Caenorhabditis elegans: one gene and its partner. The protein of the gene in region 2 purifies or fractionates together with the protein of the main gene of each other region. This does not show direct contact. Each region holds a gene or a part of one and is shown on either strand. Other genes may lie near its edges.

Region 1 (7,050 bases), on a different chromosome or scaffold from region 2:
TTTTCCTAAATTTCGCGCGAAAATCATCTGAAAATTGAATTAAAAATGCTTTTTAATCGAAAATTTAATTTATTTTGACTTTTTCTTCAAATTCCATGTAAAAATACACTGAAAACTTGGAAAATCGGTGAAAAATAAGGCAAAATAACAATAAATAAATAATAAAACGGAAATTCAAATCGGAATTTGGCAAAAACTGAGATTTTTTCAATTTAAAAAAAATCATATAAATTTTAGAAATTTTTTTTGAATTTTTTTATCATGATATTCGGTCATTGAGGCACTGGCGCTACACCACCTTTAATAAATACGACTTTTTTATTCATTTTTTTTCCTCAAAATTGAGCTTAAACCCACCCAAAATCCCCCCTAAAACTCCATTGGCTCATCGGCGGCTCTTTTTCTTTTCTCCGCATCGCCTAATTCTTCTTTTTCCTTCTTTCTCTTCTTATCCTTCTTCTTTTTCTTGTGTTTCTTCGGAAATCCTTTCTCCGTCTCATCATCATCAAATCCATATGCGTCGTATTGTTGCCGAACCCGTATTAAATTCAATTTCTCGCTGTACGCCAGATTTGGTTCCTCTTTTCGGCGCTCGAATAGGTGGCGATATCTGGAAAAATTTAATTTTAATTAATTAATCTTATTTTGTGGAATTTTTATCGATTTCGCGCAAAAAATGACAAAAAGAAGTTAAAAATGCCTCCCGTAAATCTACAAAATTAAAGGCGCATGGTCTCTTGCGCTGGTTGGGTCTCACAACGATCACTACAAAAATGCAAGAATTTGTCTGAAAAATAGCGGAAAAATTATTTAAAAGTTTAAAATGTTGGTGTTGACCTGTAAAATTGAATATTTAATCTTATTTTGTGGAATTTTCATCGATTTCGTGCAAAAATTGGACCAAAAACTATTAAAACCGTTGGGTCTCGCAGCGATTTCTACAAAAATAGGAGAATTAATTAAAAAATTTCGGACATTTGATTAAAACGTTCGAAATAGTGGCGATAAGCTTATTTTGTCGAAACTTCACCGTTTTCGTTCAAAAATTGGGCTAAAACTGTTAAAAAATTATTTCCGTAAATCTACAAAATTAAAGGCGCATGGTCTCTATTGATTGTTGAGTCTCGCAACGATCACTACAAAAATGCCAGAATTAATTCAAAAATTTGCGGAAATTGAATTAAAATGTTCGAAAGAGTGGCGCTGTGCTTATTCAGTTGAATTTCCACCGTTTTTGTGCAAAAATTGGCCTAAAACTATTTAAAATGCCACCAGTAAATCTACAAAAATTAAAGGTGCATGGTCCCTATCGTCCGTTGGGTCTCGCAGCGATTTCTACAAAAATGGGAGAAATGTTTAAAAATAGCGAAATTCCGCAATATTTTGCGGAAAACATCAAAATTAATGGGAAATTTCAATTTTAAATCAGAAAAATCTAGAACATCGTCGAATTTGCACCTTTCATCGACGGGCCCAGCAGAAAGCTTGAATCCCTGCATCGAAGAGCTCGTCAAATTCGAAATTTCCTTGTGAATCGGCGGTTTTTCGATGAGAGCTCGCAGTGAGCTCGCCTCTTTCGTCGCGTCCAAGTGAAATTCGCCGATTATATGCGGCAAAAACGAGGAGATTTTCTCCTTAACTCGTCTGCTACCACTGAATCCTCCCTCAACAGGCCCGAGCTCGTACGACATGAGAAGATCGTGATTTCCCTGAATTTCGCTGTACGCTGGAATAAAAAATTGGGTTTTGAGCAGATTTTTGAAGAAACTCACGTGGAAGTAGAGCTTTTAATGTGTAAAATGGCTCGTTTTTCGAGCTTTTGCTCTTTACGGGCGGCCCCGAGCAGGCCGATGGCTCGTTCATGCCTGAAATTGTAATTTTAAGCCGGGAGATTTTTAAAATTCAATTAATTTAATTGAAAGAGGGAAAATATTGAAAAAAAAGTGGGATTTTTCCAGCAAAATCCTAGAATTTGAGTGAAAAAGTAAGCTTTTTTTTGGTTTGAAGTTTGTTTTGAAACATTTTTGAGTCAATTTCGCCTAATTTTTGGGGTTTCAGCGGTAAAAAAAAACTTTTTTTTTCAGTTCTAAAGACTAAAAAAGTACAGATTTAGGCCTTTTTTTAAATTTTTTGTTTGAAACTAGATTCGAAACAAGTCATTTTTCGCAATATTCGGCTAATTTCAGTAGTTTCAGAGATTATAAGTCTGCAAAGTTGAAGATGACCACAGGGATTTCAAAAATATTCCAGAAAACTGGAATGTTTCTGGAAAAAAAAAATCGAAAAACTATATAAAAAGTGAAAAAAGGTCAGAAATTCGTTTTTTTTTTTAACTTTTCTTTTGCTTTAATTTGCGCGGGAATTCAAAAATAACTTGGAAAATGCAATATTTCGGAAAAAATTAGCCAGAAACATGAAAATTGGTGTAACGAACAAATTGTGGATAATTTTTGGTCAAAATAGTAAATTTTTAATAACAATAATTCATATTTTATCAACTTTATGCGAAAAATGTATCAAAAAACCAGATTCATCAACGATTTCTTTCAAAAAAACATTAAAAAACGTTTAAAATCGAGAAATTAAAATAAAAATAAAATAAATCCAAAAACGCGCAAAGGCTCCCCACTGACGCGTTTCCCCGATTTGCTTGCGCACTTTCCGTGGCCACTTTTATCCCTTTTTCTCTGTCCTTCTCTCTCCCTTTTCGGCAATATTTGGAGGTTTTGCGGGACGGAAATCTTTGCGCACACGGCAACTTATCGATTTTTCATTCTTTTCCGCCCAAAATTCTGCATCTCCGCCAACTTCTGCGGCTCCAATTTCCTTGAAACCTCGATTTTATTACGAAAATTTGAATTTTTACCCTTTTTCACATTTATCTTTCAGGGGTATCACAAGATGACCGACTCCAAATATTTCACCACCACAAAGAAAGGTATTTTTATATCGTTTTCAATGAATTTAACTCAAATTTCCAATTTTTATTGCAGGAGAAATATTCGAACTGAAAAATGAGCTCAACTCTGACAAAAAGGAGAAGAAAAAAGAGGCTGTGAAGAAGGTTATCGCCAGTATGACAGTCGGAAAAGACGTCAGCGCTCTATTTCCCGATGTGGTGAATTGTATGCAGACGGATAATGTTGAATTGAAGAAATTAGTCTATCTGTATTTGATGAATTACGCGAAATCGCAGCCTGATCTCGCGATTATGGCGGTTAACACGTTTGTTAAGGTAGGGGAGACAGCTTGAGAAGGTTCAAAAGTAGAAAATTGGCTCAAAAAGTTGTAAAAATTGCTCGAAAAGCTGAAAATTCGCTCAAAAAGCTGAAAATTTTGCTCAAACGCTGAAAATTTGCTCAAATGCTGAAAATTCGCTCCAAAAGCTGAAATTTTGCTTAAATATATAAGAAATTCGCCCAAAAGCTGCAAACACTCCCGCGCGAATTGTCTTTGTTTTTTCTCATTTAAAACTTGAAAATAAAATTATTTTAAATTTAAAAATACCATTATTATCCCAGACGTTTCAGATTTCCCGGCAAAATTCTCCGAATTTTCGTAAAACCGGGGAAAAATTATAAAAATGGCATTTTTCCGGGGAAAAGCAAGAACAAACCAGATTTTTTCAGCTTTTTTCGGTCGTTTTTCGGAAATTTTTAATAATTTTGCACTTTTTTCAGGACTGTGAAGATCCAAATCTTGAGAAAATAGTGGAAATTTTCCCCAAAAAGCTGTTAAATTTGCAGAGGAGCAACTTTTTATCACTTTTGAGAGGAAAATTACATTTTTTGCGGGTTTTTTCCTTCAGTTCATTTTTACTCAAAAAGCTGTTAAACTTGCTTAAAAACTGTAAAAATGCCCCGCGCGAATTTTTTTTTTGTTTTTTCTCGTTTAAAGCTTGAAAATAACATTTTTTAAATCAAAAATACCATAATTTTCCTCGAAAAATCATTAAAATGACAATTTTCCGGGAAAAAAACAGGAAAAAACCGATTTTTCAGCTTTTTTCGGTCATTTTTCGGAAATTTTCAATAATTTTCCTAATTTTTCAGGACTGTGAAGATCCGAATCCTCTAATCCGTGCACTTGCTGTCCGTACAATGGGATGTATTCGCGTTGAAAAGATCACCGAATACCTCTGTGATCCTCTCCGTCGATGTATGAAGGATGAGGATCCATACGTTCGAAAAACCGCCGCAGTCTGTGTTGCAAAGCTTCACGACATGAATCCGGCTCTTGTGAAGGAGCAGGGATTCGTTGAGTTGCTCAACGATCTACTCTCCGATGCCAATCCGATGGTTGTGGCGAATGCGGTTGCCGCGTTGACTGAAATGAATGAGCAACAGACTGTAATTGAAGTGAATAGTCAAATGGTTAATAAACTATTGACTGCGTTGAATGAGTGTACTGAATGGGGACAAGTATTCATTTTGGATGCTCTTGCAGGTAAAAATTCAGCAAAAAAGTGTTGAAAATCGTGGAAAAAAAGTGAAAAAATCGTAAAATTGAGCAATTTTTCACCTAAAAAACTTAAAAAAAGCTTTCAAGGTGTGTAGTCGAATTTTTTCAAATTGCCTTATTAGACTCAAAATTGTCTGAAAGCATCGAATTTTGTTAATGAAACTTCTCGATCGATTTTTTACACTTTAGAATTCCAGCTTCAAGAGATTAAAAAAAACCAGAAAACCTACATATAAATAAGATTTTTCGGTTTTCAAATTCTTTATCTGCCGATCCTGACGAATTTCGCATGAAAAAGCTAGAAAATTGTATTTTTTTTTCCTAGAAAACCCCAAATTTACAATAAAAACCTCTAATTTCAGATTTCAGAGGCGAAAACTCGAAATTGATATTCAAAATAGCTTCAAAACCGAGAAAAATCCAATAAAATAAATAATATAGTTCTGAAAAACGCTTTAATTTTAAAATTTCGAAGTAAAACATTTTTTTTCTTCCTAGAAAATTAGAAAAAATCTGCAAAAATTTAATTTTCTGATAGTTTTTTTTTTGAGAAAAATTGAAAATTTGCAGTTGGAAAAAAAAAGAAAATTGAAATCCAGAGAAAAATCTGAAAACAAATCGAAATTTTATAGTTTTTAACAGAAAAAAAATCGATTTTTTACACTTTAAAATTATAGCTTGAAGAGATTTCTAAAAAACGAGAAAATTCAATTATTAGCTTACATTTTCTATTAAATACAAAATTTAGATTTTTCGGTTTTCAAATTCTTTTGCTGCCGATCCTGACGAATTTCGCATGAAAAATCTTGAAAATTGTATTTTTTTTCTAAGAAAACCCCAAATTTGCAACAAAAACCGCTACTTTCGAATTTCAGCGGCGAAAAGTCTTTATTTTTCCGAAACTGATAGTGAAAATAGGTTTAAAAAGCACAGCAAAACGTTTTAATTTTGATATTTCAAAGTATTTCTATGACAAAAAATTCCAGAAACTTTATGAAAATTCTGATCTGATACTCAGTTTTAGTAATATAAGCCGGTTTTTTCCTCAAAAAACCAAAAGTTGAAAAAAAATTCCATTAAAAACTTAGACCTGAAAAATAAAAAATTCTAGAGAAATTTCTAATTTTTTGCTCAATTTGCAAAAAAAAAAACTCCAAAAAATCTTAAATTCCAGGCTACATATTTCCACCATTTTTTTTTGGTTTTTTCTCTCGAAATTCTAGTTCTTCATCATTTTTTCTATTATAGAGACGCAGAAAAATGCGTATTTTTGAAATTGATGTGTGCAAGTGCGCTCCACGGCCAACTGTTAGGTCTCGTTAGGCATTTGGCGGCAAAACGCTAAATTTTTTGTAAAATTCGGCTCAAACATCTGTAAAAACAATTTTTTCCAAAAAATGAAGAAAAATCTGCAAAAATTTCATTTTCTGATGGATTTTTGAGAAAAATCGCAAATTTATAATTTTTTTTTTCAGGAAAATTGAAAACTCCCGAGCTTCTACTAGGAAAAATCTAAATCGCGCTTGCATGAAAATTGTAGGAAATTTGCAAATTTTCGATTTTCCAAAAAATCCTAAATTTCAGGCTAAAACAATTTTTAAAAATGCAAATTAATTTCAAATAATCAAATTCTTTAAAAAAAATCGTTTTTTTTTTCGATATTTTTGGTTTTTAGCTTCGAAATTCCAGCCATTTTTGCTCAATTTTCCATAAAATCTTAAATTCCAAGTTGAAAAACTTGAAAAAAAAAGAATTAATTTAAAATAATTAAATTCTTTTAAAAAAATCGTTTTTTTTTCGATTTTTCCGATTTTTAACATTGAATTCCCGCCTTTTTGCTCAATTTTCCAAAAAAAAAATCTAAAATTCCAGGCTAAAAAAATTAAAAAATGCAAATTAATTTCAAAAAATAAAATTCGAGAAAAAACGTTTTTTTGTTAAATTTTTTTAAAAAGATTTTTCAAAATTTTTAACATCGAAACTCCCGCGTTTTTGCTCAATTTTCCATAAAATTTTTAAATTCAAGCTAAGAAAGTTAAAAAAAAGCGTTTTTTTTTGTTGATTTTTTCCGGCTTTTTTCCAAAAAAAAAAATCTAAAATTCCAGGCTACACCCCACGAGACGAACGTGAAACTCAAAACATTTGTGAGCGAATCTCTCCCCGTCTGGCTCACGCCAACGCCGCCGTCGTTCTCTCCACCGTAAAAGTGCTCATGAAGCTGATCGACATGATGCCAGCAGATTCGGACTTTATCACCCAACTCACGAAGAAGCTCGCACCACCAATGGTTACCCTGCTCTCGGCGGAGCCCGAAATTCAATATGTCGCACTGCGAAACATCAATTTGATCGTTCAAAAACGCCCCGACATTTTGAAACAAGAAATGAAGGTGTTCTTTGTGAAATATAATGATCCGATTTATGTGAAAATGGAGAAGCTGGATATTATGATTCGACTGGCTCAACAGAATAATATCGCTCAAGTGCTCAGTGAGCTCAAGGAATATGCCACCGAGGTTGATGTGGATTTTGTTCGGAAATCTGTTAGAGCAATTGGAAGATGTGCTATTAAAGTTGAAGCTAGTAGTGA
Region 2 (10,442 bases):
TCGAATTGTCCAACATCATGGCAGCATACCGGCAGACCCTCCGTCGAAAAACTGTAGACTGATCGTTTTGACGAAAACTACAAGCTTATATACCAAGCCTTATCAAGATGTACTAATTAAAGGTCATTGAAGTTCACTTTTTTGAAAAATTATTTCCGTGTAATTAATTGATATTAAGTTTCATCGAAATTTGAGTTTTAAACGTGATTTACGTATATCTCTTTTTTTGGAAAAATTGAAGGAGGTCCCTATTTGGCTCACGAGATGCGTTATCCCGGTGGAGATTGTACATCGGATATTTGGATTTAATTTTGTTTTTTTAAAATGTTTTGCATAAAAAATTAGCTTGTACATATTCATCACAATTCATTCAGACTTTCAAAAAAAAAATTGAAAGGATTTTTCAACTCATAATGCAACTAGAAAAACGGGGGAAACCAGGCGAATAAATATTCAAAAAGGGGATTTTTTTCAAATGTGAACGAAGCAATCATCATATATGGTACAAAGAATGTGGCGAGTTGAAATCACGGGAATTTAGTAGAATTGCACAAAAAATTATGGATTAGAAAGTAGGAAGAAAATATATGAACATTCGGAATTTGACTCAAAAAAAAAGAAGCTAGCTCGATTTTAATGATGGGGGAAATTATGGGGGGAAAACGATTTCTGACACAAAAAGGCAATCAAATAATAAAAATCAATAAAAATCAATCATATCTAGCGGCTAATGAAGTCAGCTTGGTCGCCACTTCCTGATAAAACATTGCTTGTTTCTTCAAATATGTGCCCATTGTCGATTTCATATCCTCCACTTTCTCTGCTGTTTGATGTTGAACTTCAGCAATTACAGTGTAGCTCATCGCATCGATTCTTTGCTTCATCTTTTCAGCCTCGGCCGACGAGAGACGTCCTTCGCTGTCACGGAACTTTTGAACAGCTTGCTGGAAAATTGTTGGGTTTTGAATGTTTTTAGGCTTTTGCCACGGGCTTTCAGATTCTGTCATATCTTGAAATGGGAGGGGTTAATGACCGCGACGCAGGTGCGAGCGGCGCGGCTCGATCGAGAAAAGTTTATTTTATTTTTTGCCCAGAATGCGTGATTTTTCATTTAAATCTTCAAAATTTTCGATTTTTTCAGAGAATAAAGGTTTTTTAAATCTATTTTTACCAAGTTTTGTTTATTTTTTAAACTTTTCCTTAAAAAAAGAAGAAATTGTTAAAATTTAAAGATATTTTTCGAAAAAACGGAAAAACGAACATTTTCAATTTATTTCTTAAAAATTTAATATTTTTAGATTTGTTATAATTCGAAAATTTGACAACCTCCATGTAAACGCAAAAAAAATCCAAAAAATGAAGGAAAATCACGCATTCTTGGCAAACGTCTAAAATAAACATTAATTCGAGCCGCTCCGCACGCGGCTGCGTCGCGGTCCTGGCAGAGTTTCCCAACCCTCAAAAACTCTTCCACTTCAGGATATAAGGGCCTCTGTTCAGTACCTTGTGCACTTGAATAATATCCGGCACATTTTGCACTGTTCCCTTATACGAATAAAGGTTCTCAAGCACTGGTTCCATGTCATTCTTCGTGTGCGCATCGAATACTTGCCCAATTTCATGATATTCTGATGCAGTGTAGGCGAGAGCTTCTGTCAGGCGGCGACTGGCTGAAAAATTAGAATTTTTAAATTTATCCAAGAACTTTTAAAAATCCAAAGATTCATACCAACGGTCTCATCAATCTCAAAAGATTGCTGAAGTGTCTTGAACGCGCTTCCCATCTTTTGCCAATTTTGTTTTACCGCTGAAATTTGATTTTTTTAATTTAAATTTTTAAAGCTCGAAAATTTCCAACATACGTCCAGCGAAGACCTTCTGGAACATGTTCATTCTCTCCTGCATCACACGCATCGCTTCTTCCGATGTTTTGACGCTCCGTTGGAATCGTTCAACTTGCATATCGCTGGAAACATGTAGGATTACGCAGGATTATCAAACTTTCTGCGTAGAATTCTATTAGTTTCTTACACATTATTCGGATCCAATGGTTGATGTGGAACAGTGATACAGTTCAGGAAAGCTCCACCAATGTATTCATCCTTTTCAGCTCGCCGCTTCCCATTCTTCCAATCTTTTTCGTCGGTGCAACTGATAAAGTGGAGCCAAACTTCCGACTGACTCAACACTGGATGCCTACAAATCTTGTTGACCCATAACTGAAGAATGTGCTTCCGATGATCAATAAGATCCTCCTCGTATCTTCCGGCGACCTGTTTCTCTGGCAACGGTGGAATCGGAATGAGCACATATTTAGCCGATAGCTGCTCGTGGAGCCAATCGAAATGCTTGTAGCGACGGGATACCTGACGCTAGCAAGCGGTTAGTAAGCGTCGAAATCTACAAATTTACCTGAATATTAGTCAAACTCGACGTAATCGAATATGCGATGAAGCTCTTCAGCCCTTTCAGCTTTGACTCTTTCTTCGGTTTATCCACTATACACGTGTAGTACTGTTGAATCGGTTTCCATTGAATAATTCCATTGTTCATCACAACTTCATGTCGTTCACTAATCTGTGAGGTGGTCTTTGATTCACCAATCACGTACGCTTCGACTCCGGACTTTACAAAATTCGAGAATCGATTGATGTTCTTGTTGACCTTATTGGATCCTCGATCAGGTCCACCGTGTTCCGAGTGGCTACGGCTGAGGTCACGACGGGAGTTCGAGCCGATCGAGGATTGAACGTTGGGCCGAGTTGGTTCCTGGAAATCGGAATTTTTTGATTTTTTTTATTTTATAACTTTTTGGACACAAATAAGGAAAACATGCATGCGTTACATAACAACCTCAATAGTTAAGGAAGCTTGATACTTTAAGCCAATCAGAACAACGAGCAGTCCCGTACGCCTCAAACAACACGTGGAGTCAGAAAGTCCCGCTTCGCTCTGATCTACGAAAAATGCGGGAAGTGAGACGCAGACATCTGATTTCGCATGGTTAAGAGTGTGCTGACGTCACAATTTTTTTGGGCGAAAAATTTCCGCATTTTTTGTAGATCAGACCGCATTGAGACCAGGGGTGAGCGGCAATCGGCGATCGGTGATCGGCGATTTTCGTGATTTTTCGGCGATCGGCGATCGCCGATCGCCGATGGAATTTTTCAATAAATTCATCTCGATTTTTAAAATCTCATGTTTTTTTTAAACGATTGTTTTGTTGTTTTTAATTTTTTTTTTGAGTAAATGTTAATTTTTCGTCGCATTTCCTTACCAAACAAAAAAACGGAAAGGTGTTTTGACCGAATAACTCGGTTAAAATAGCCGATCGGCGATCGGCAATCGGCGATCGCCGAAATTTTTCGGAAATTGGTGATCGCCGATCGCCGAAATTTTTCGGAAATTGGTGATCGCCGATCGCCGAAAAAAAAAAAGTTTGGGCGATCGGCGATCGCCGATCGCCGATTTTTTTGGGCGACTGCTCAGCCCTGATTGAGACTTTCTGACACCACTTGAAACAACTTATCGAACAACCCGAACCTTATTCTGATCGTGGTGAGACCGATTCGAGCTCAAACACGAGCTCACCGACTTCTCAACTCTCCGTCGACTATCTCTCTCCTCACTGAGACGTCTCCGTCGGGCGGTGCTATCTTGCCTACTCAAGCGCTTTTTGGTGCTCGTGGAGCGGGTAGACGAGCCCACACTACCGTTTCTTTTGCTAGAGGGGTAGGCACCGTCTGCAATGAGATGTGTGAGCGTTGTTAAAGCCACTATGCTTTGAAAATCTTGTAATTGCACATTCGCGGGAAATGAGAGATCGAAAAGAGAGAAACAGAGAAGCCACGTGGCTCCACGTTTTTTCGTTGCGAGGAACATCATCTCTTCTTCAATATCTAACCTTCCAACGAATGTGTAATAGATGTCCGAATGCTTCGCCGACAAGAACTATTCTAATAACCTTGCTGACTACTCCTCGTCTCGTCGTCAGTGGACATATCCGTTCGAGACCCACTTGCACGATGATGATGATGACGAATCGAGTTTTGATAATTCACAACTTGATCATGGACGGACAGACGGTGTTCCTTAATCAACGGATTACAAAAAGTGCTAGAACGCTGAACGTTTCCCCTAAAATATCTAAAAACGAACCCACGACGGTGAGAACGAGACGCTCGCCCTATGAAATCCACGAATTTCAGTAATAGGAATAGGACGGTTATAGAAGAAGACGTCGGCGTCCGATTGACGCAGTCGACGCATTTTTGCATGTATATATATATATGGATATATGTATATATATATATATACATATATATATATATATGTGAGTATGGATATCCAATAGGATCACCAAAAAAGACTCAACACATGATGATAGTTTTCGAGAGGCGTCGGGTGGCGACAGAGCAAAAATGAGCTGGTGGAGAGTGCTGGGGGATTCTCAATAGCAGCAATCAGGAGAGATGCTTGCACATATAAAGCGCGGGGTGTTGCAAAGAGCAGTTGAGAAGGGATATCCCTATTTTTGAGAAGAAAATTTGGGTTTTTTTTTTGTTTTTCAGGGTGATTTTTTAATTGTATGCGTAGTATTAATTTTGAAACCGACATGAAAAGGTGCTCCGCCCCCGAACCATAGGTCTCGTTAGGTATTGGTGTCAAAGTGTCTCACTTCGGCGTGATCTACAAAAAATGCGGGAATTTAGACGCAGATTTTTCAGCAAATTTCGTATGGTTAAGAGCGTGCTGACGTCGCATTTTTCTGGGCGAAAAATTCCCGCGTCTTGTAGATCAAACCGTTATGGGACAGCCTGACACCCCGTGTATTTGGCGTTAGGTATCAGTTTCGCCAATTTTTGAGAATTTTCCGTTGTTTTAATGATTTTTTTGAGCACGTTTAATACCCAACGAGACCTATTTTATTGGGGGCGGAGAGTTTTCATTTGCAGTGGAGCGGTGTGTCCCAATACAGTTTGATCTACAAAAAAATCGTGAATTTTCTCCCAGAAAAATTACGACGTTAGCACGCTATCAACGAAATCAGTTGAAATCAGGGGTGTGCGGCAAATCTCAAAATTTGCCGAGCTCGGCAAATTCGGAAAATCTCTTTTTTTCAATATTTGCCGAGCACGGCAAATTCGGCAAAGTTGCCGAGCTCGGCAAATTCGGCAAATTCGGCAAACTCGCCGTGCTTAACAAACTCGGAAAAATTTGATATTTTTTTTATGTTTTTTGGAGCACCAAAACTACTGAATTCTTAACACACATCTGGTTTCTGAATAAGTTCCGCGTAGTATGTCTGTTTAAGCATCAAAATAGCTCAATTTTGTATCATTTTACTAAATTTTTGGCTAAAAAATCAATAGTTTTAGTCAAAATTGTACTGTCAAATTTTTGACGTGTGCGGCAAATTTCGAAATTTGCCGAGCTCGGCAAATTCGGCAAATCTACTTTTTTGAAATTTGCCGAGCTCGGCAAACGGCAAATTCGACAAATTCGGCAAATTTGCCGCACACCCCTGGTTGAAATGTCTACGTCTCACCTCCCGCATTTTTCGAAGATCAAAGTGCGAAATGGGACTTTCTGACTTCACGTGTATTAAGAAAAAACCTTTGAATGCTAGAGTTAGTTGGAGTAAAATTAATAAAACCTATAAACTTAAAAAAATTCTAAATAAAAAATCCCAGTTAAATAAAAATGTCCTTTACATTTTGAAACGACGGCGACTGATTAACTTGTAGATGATCTAGAGCGATAAAGCTCGAGGATCGTCCACGAGCAAACAGCATTCGCGAAAATTTCAGCAGCAGCAGAAGTTGTTGTAGTAGTAGCAAATAAATCTGGATGACATTTAAATAGTCGCAGCCGACGACGAAGAGAGAGAATTTCGAATGATTAGAAATGAAATGTCCGAAGAGAAGAGGGTCCAGCGGCGACGGAGTGGAGAGACGACTTCTACCGGAAACCAAGTTGCGGCGGCGACGACAACGATGTCGTTTCCCGGCGATTTTTGAGGAGGATGACTATTCTTTTTGGACTTTTCGTTTGGTCTTTTAGGATATATAGATTTAGGAGTTAGAGGGTATAAATAGGACGGACAGAAACTGGACAATCAAAAAATTAAAATAAAATTTTAAAAATACCTGCTCATCATCCTCATCCGTCCATTCATCGTCAAAATCATCATTCTGTGATGGATATGAAGATCTAGTGACTTCCGGTACAGATGGCGTTGGCTGATGATGATGTTGGGCTCCGTAGGATGGTGGAGCAGCAACTTCTGAAGCGCCTCCCCAATCATCAAAAGGACGCGATGAGGCAGCTGGTGGACCGCTTGAAGTTGGTGGGAGTGGTGGTGGTAGGACCTGGAATTTTTGAGTATTTATGAAATTGTTTAAAAAGTTAGAAAATTGAAATGGGATCTGTGTGTCATGTGGTCCCATCACGGATTGATCTACAAAAAATGCGGGATTTTTTGCCCGACAAAATGTGACGTCAGCACGTTTTTAACCGTGCACACGTGGTGTCAGGCTGTCTCATTGCGGTTTGATCTACGAAAAATGCGGGGATACTTTTCAAGAAAAATTGTGACTTCAGCACGCTCTTAACCATGCGAAATCAGATGAGATGTCTGCGTCTCTTCTCCCGCATTTTCGAAGATCAAAGCGAAATGGTACTGTGCGAAATCAGTGGATAACTCTACGTCTCAATTCGCGCGTTTTTTGTAGATCAACGTAGATCAAGCCGGAATGGAGCACTCTGGGAGCTACAGTTATTACGTATACGTCACAAGAAAATGGGTCTCGCCACGCTGACAACTGTAAATCGACACGAGTAACAGAAACTTGTTGTCAGCGTGGTGAGACCCGTAACCAACTACTAGAGCTCTATTTTGTGATATGGTACGGTAGGAGTACTGTAGGATTACTGTAGAATAACAAAACAAATCTGTTGTGAGCTTTTGTGGAGTCTCCAGCGGTGTCCTATTTGAGGATCGACCTCATTAAGTTTGGTAGCGAACACATGGTGTCAGAGTTTCCCATTTCGGTTTGATCTACGTTGATCTACAAAAAAAATGCGGGAGAAGAGACGCAGAGTTCTCATCTGATTTTGAATTGTAAAGAACGTGCTGACGTCACATTGTTGGGCAAAAAATTCCCGCATTTTTTTTGTAGATCAGACCGTAATGGGACGGCCTGGCACCATGTGAGCGAATGTAAATTTCAAATTGTCAAAATTTACTCTGTTTGGCACCTACACGTGGTGCCAGGCTGTCCCATTACGGTTTGATCTACAAAAAATGCGGGCATTTTCGCCCAAAAATATGTGACGTCAGCACGTTCTTAACCATACGAAATTAGTGGAGAACTCTGCGTTTCTTCTCCCGCATTTTTTGTAGATCTACGTAGGTCAAACCGAAATGAGACACTCTGACACCACGTGCACCTATGAATTTGCCTCAGAATTTCGAGGAATTTCTGAGAGGTTTGGAAAGAATCGAAAAGATTATCTTCTACACAAAACCCCTACACTCTTCGATATTGCTCCACTTTTCTTAAAACTGCTCTTTCTAGACGAGTGCTTCCCAGTGGAATGCTGTTCATCCTCTTCCTCCATCAGAATAGGTGGCTTCATCTTATGCGGTGAAGCAGATGTGTCTTGTTTGATGAGTGTACTACACGTGTGTCGTCGAAGCATCTGTTTGCGACGACGTTCGAGAAGCTGCCGATGAGCATCTTCAGATGAGCCGCCCGGTGGTGTTGGGTAGTTCTCAACGGCCTTTCGAAGACTCGATGTGAAGAGCATTCGCGAAAAGATCGAAAAGTCGGATAAAAAGTAGGAAATCTCTTGGCAGAATGAGTGGAATATAAGACGAATCAGGTATATAGAGCTTCTTTGAGAATCTACTTATTTTGTTTTCAAGTATCTGGACCGCCGTCTTCAAGTGAGTAGGAGGATCCGAACGTCTCCAGGGACCCGAGGAAAAACCAATTTCAAAATAGTTTTTCTTTCTTTTTTTTTCTATTTTGTTCCAGTCTCTTCCGCTTCATCTCACTCCTCTTTGTTGCGTTCTTCTTCCACCATCTTTTTTATTATTCAAATTTCATGGGCTTTTACTCATCTTTCTCTCCGTTTTGAATATTTTTCGGAAACAAGCATCAGATTCAGCGATTTCTAGAGGGTTCCAGCAGCTCAAAATGCTGATGAGAAGGCAATTTCAATCATTTTGATGCTTTTGGCTCACCACAACCAATTTAGATGCTCCCCGCAGAAATGCACACAACGAAGACACACAACGAAGACACACACACACACACACAAAATACAATCAAAACCGGAAATAGATGAGAAAGTGGGTTAACTAGAAGACAAATGGGTTACCGGTGGCGGACGAGAAGCTTGATAGGGAGTTACGTAGGATTCGGGAAAGAGTCCGACGGATCCACGCACGTTTCGACCTTCTATCCATCCTCCGTCGATGTTCTGAAATAAAAACTCTTGATTTTGCTTTAAATTATAGAAAAAAATGGGCTGAAATGATCGAATAATAAATTCTTTTTGTGATTTTTTTTCCATTTTTGGGTAAATTCTTTCGTTTTTCTTATTTTTTTAAAGAGATATTTGAATTAAAACGCCATTTATCAGTTTTTCAGACATTTTTCCGCGGAGAAAACTTGTTCTCCGGACGAAAATTGGCCTAAAAATCAGGAATTTCATATATTGATAAGAAATTTTCAGGAAAAACGCCTGGAAATCTGACAAAACCAATGAATTTACACCATTTATCAGTTTTTTTTTGTTTGACAAAATTATGTAAATTATCAACGTTTGGCCAGATTTAAAGTTTCTGCGTATTTTGTTCGAGGAATCGAGTTTTCGCTTCGGAAAAATGCCTGAAAAACGAATAATCAGTGTTTTAAAACAAAAATTAAACAAAAAATTAAGAAAAAACAGATGAATTTCGCCAGAAAACGGGAAAACGCCGATTTATTCACGCGGGAATTCAAAATTAATTTAGCCGATTGTTTCATTTTACGATTCAAAAAATCCTCGAACAACTCTGTTCCACCTGCTCAAAAAGCCTCTTACCTCTCGAATAACCGTCAAAACTTCGCCAGCCGAGATTGACAGTTCGCCTGTGTTTGGTTGACTTTGAAAATCATACTCGGCTTTCACCTGAGCCATTTCTCTGAAAAAAATGTTAATTTTTAATTTAAAATATTCCAGAAAAAGAGTAAAACTGAATTTTCAGCAAGGTTTTTCAGTTGATAAGTGTCAAAAAAAGCGAGCGAGCAGAGAATATGAGAAATCAATAAAAAATAAACAATGAGTCAGCCAATATTTCAATACACAACGCGGCAACTCGTGATGACTGGTGAAATTGGGAAGTTTTTTAGGGAGGAGGAGGAATAGGTGTCAAATTTCCATAGGCATATGATTAAAATTGTTGAATTTTGGGTGGGAAAGTGCATTTTTGGGTAAAAAAAAACACTGTTAAAAGACAAAATGCAGCAATTTGAAGAATTTACAGAGTGCTTTTTCGTTATTTTCACAGAAAAAACTTTAGAAAGGGTCCAGTTCAATTTAATTTTAGAAAAATGGGAAAAATTCGCATAAAAACCTGACAAAATTAACCTTTATCGCTCGAAAATAATATTTTTTTTCGAAATAAATTCAAATATTAAAATTCCCGCCGCAAAAAGTTGTCAATGGAGCGCACTTACAGCCAAAAATTGTCATTGGAGCGCGCTTACAGTAAGCAATTTTTTATTATTTTTTCAACTAATTTTCAAGAATTTTTCTTTCACAGTGATATCAATCTATGATTTTATACTTTTTTATAAGAAGATCAGCAATTTATTATTGACCACGAAATAATTATAATCTTCCTTATAGACTTTTCTAGAATTAATGCGATTATTCCGAAAACACAACACACAAAGTGTTCGTTTAGCACATATTTTTCGGCAAAGCAACAAAATTCCCTATTCAAACAAATATAATTAGACATAGCCAACGACATCCGATATCTTGCGAAATCATCTGGAAAACGGTTTCGCAACACAAACCACCGGGGGTGACGCAAGCAATACAGTTATATGAAAGGAAGCAGCTTTATGGTCACAAACACAAAAGCCAATCAACTTCGGAAAAAAAATACGAGAAGCGCAGAGAAAAAAACGGTCAAACCGAACGCGAGATCGTAAAATCGGATTGTCCTGCCAGGCGGTGGAAGGTGAACCGGTTTTTTCCTGATTTTTCAGTTCTTCTCGATTTCTCCTGATATCAAATCAGCAATTTTTCGAATTTTCCCGCGAAAATATTTATGTTATTGTCAATTTACCCTGATTTTTCACAAATTTCCCACATTCTCGCTAGAATTCTATGAGAAAGTGATACGCAGACAGTACGAGATCAAAGGCGCATTGGTGGCC

What was found.
Region 1: the proteins of lst-4 (region 2) and apb-1 purify together in Caenorhabditis elegans (affinity purification with western blotting, with the first as the bait; one study listed by BioGRID). This does not show direct contact.

Annotation. Positions count from the first base shown.
Region 1 is NC_003281.10:2,592,874-2,599,923, reverse strand, and holds the start of apb-1 (AP complex subunit beta), read left to right. Parts: upstream 1-2,889; 5' UTR 2,890-2,901; coding exon 2,902-2,938; intron 2,939-2,993; coding exon 2,994-3,235; intron 3,236-4,052; coding exon 4,053-4,446; intron 4,447-6,566; coding exon 6,567-7,050. Other genes in the region: mdt-19 (Mediator of RNA polymerase II transcription subunit 19), read right to left, coding at 370-610, 1,459-1,726, 1,773-1,863.
Region 2 is NC_003282.8:14,060,659-14,071,100, forward strand, and holds lst-4 (Sorting nexin lst-4), read right to left. Parts: upstream 7,813-10,442; coding exon 7,537-7,812; intron 6,372-7,536; coding exon 6,150-6,371; coding exon of another isoform or gene 6,075-6,149; intron 4,005-6,074; exon of another isoform or gene 4,002-4,004; coding exon of another isoform or gene 3,965-4,001; intron 3,744-3,964; coding exon of another isoform or gene 3,544-3,743; intron 2,770-3,543; coding exon 2,413-2,769; intron 2,373-2,412; coding exon 2,032-2,372; intron 1,967-2,031; coding exon 1,863-1,966; intron 1,808-1,862; coding exon 1,730-1,807; intron 1,671-1,729; coding exon 1,504-1,670; intron 945-1,503; coding exon 711-944; 3' UTR 347-710; downstream 1-346. UniProt on the Caenorhabditis elegans protein: Involved in the signaling of vulval development by acting as a negative regulator of epidermal growth factor receptor (EGFR) signaling. Aids in phagosomal membrane tubule formation which is required for phagosomal fusion with endosomes and lysosomes.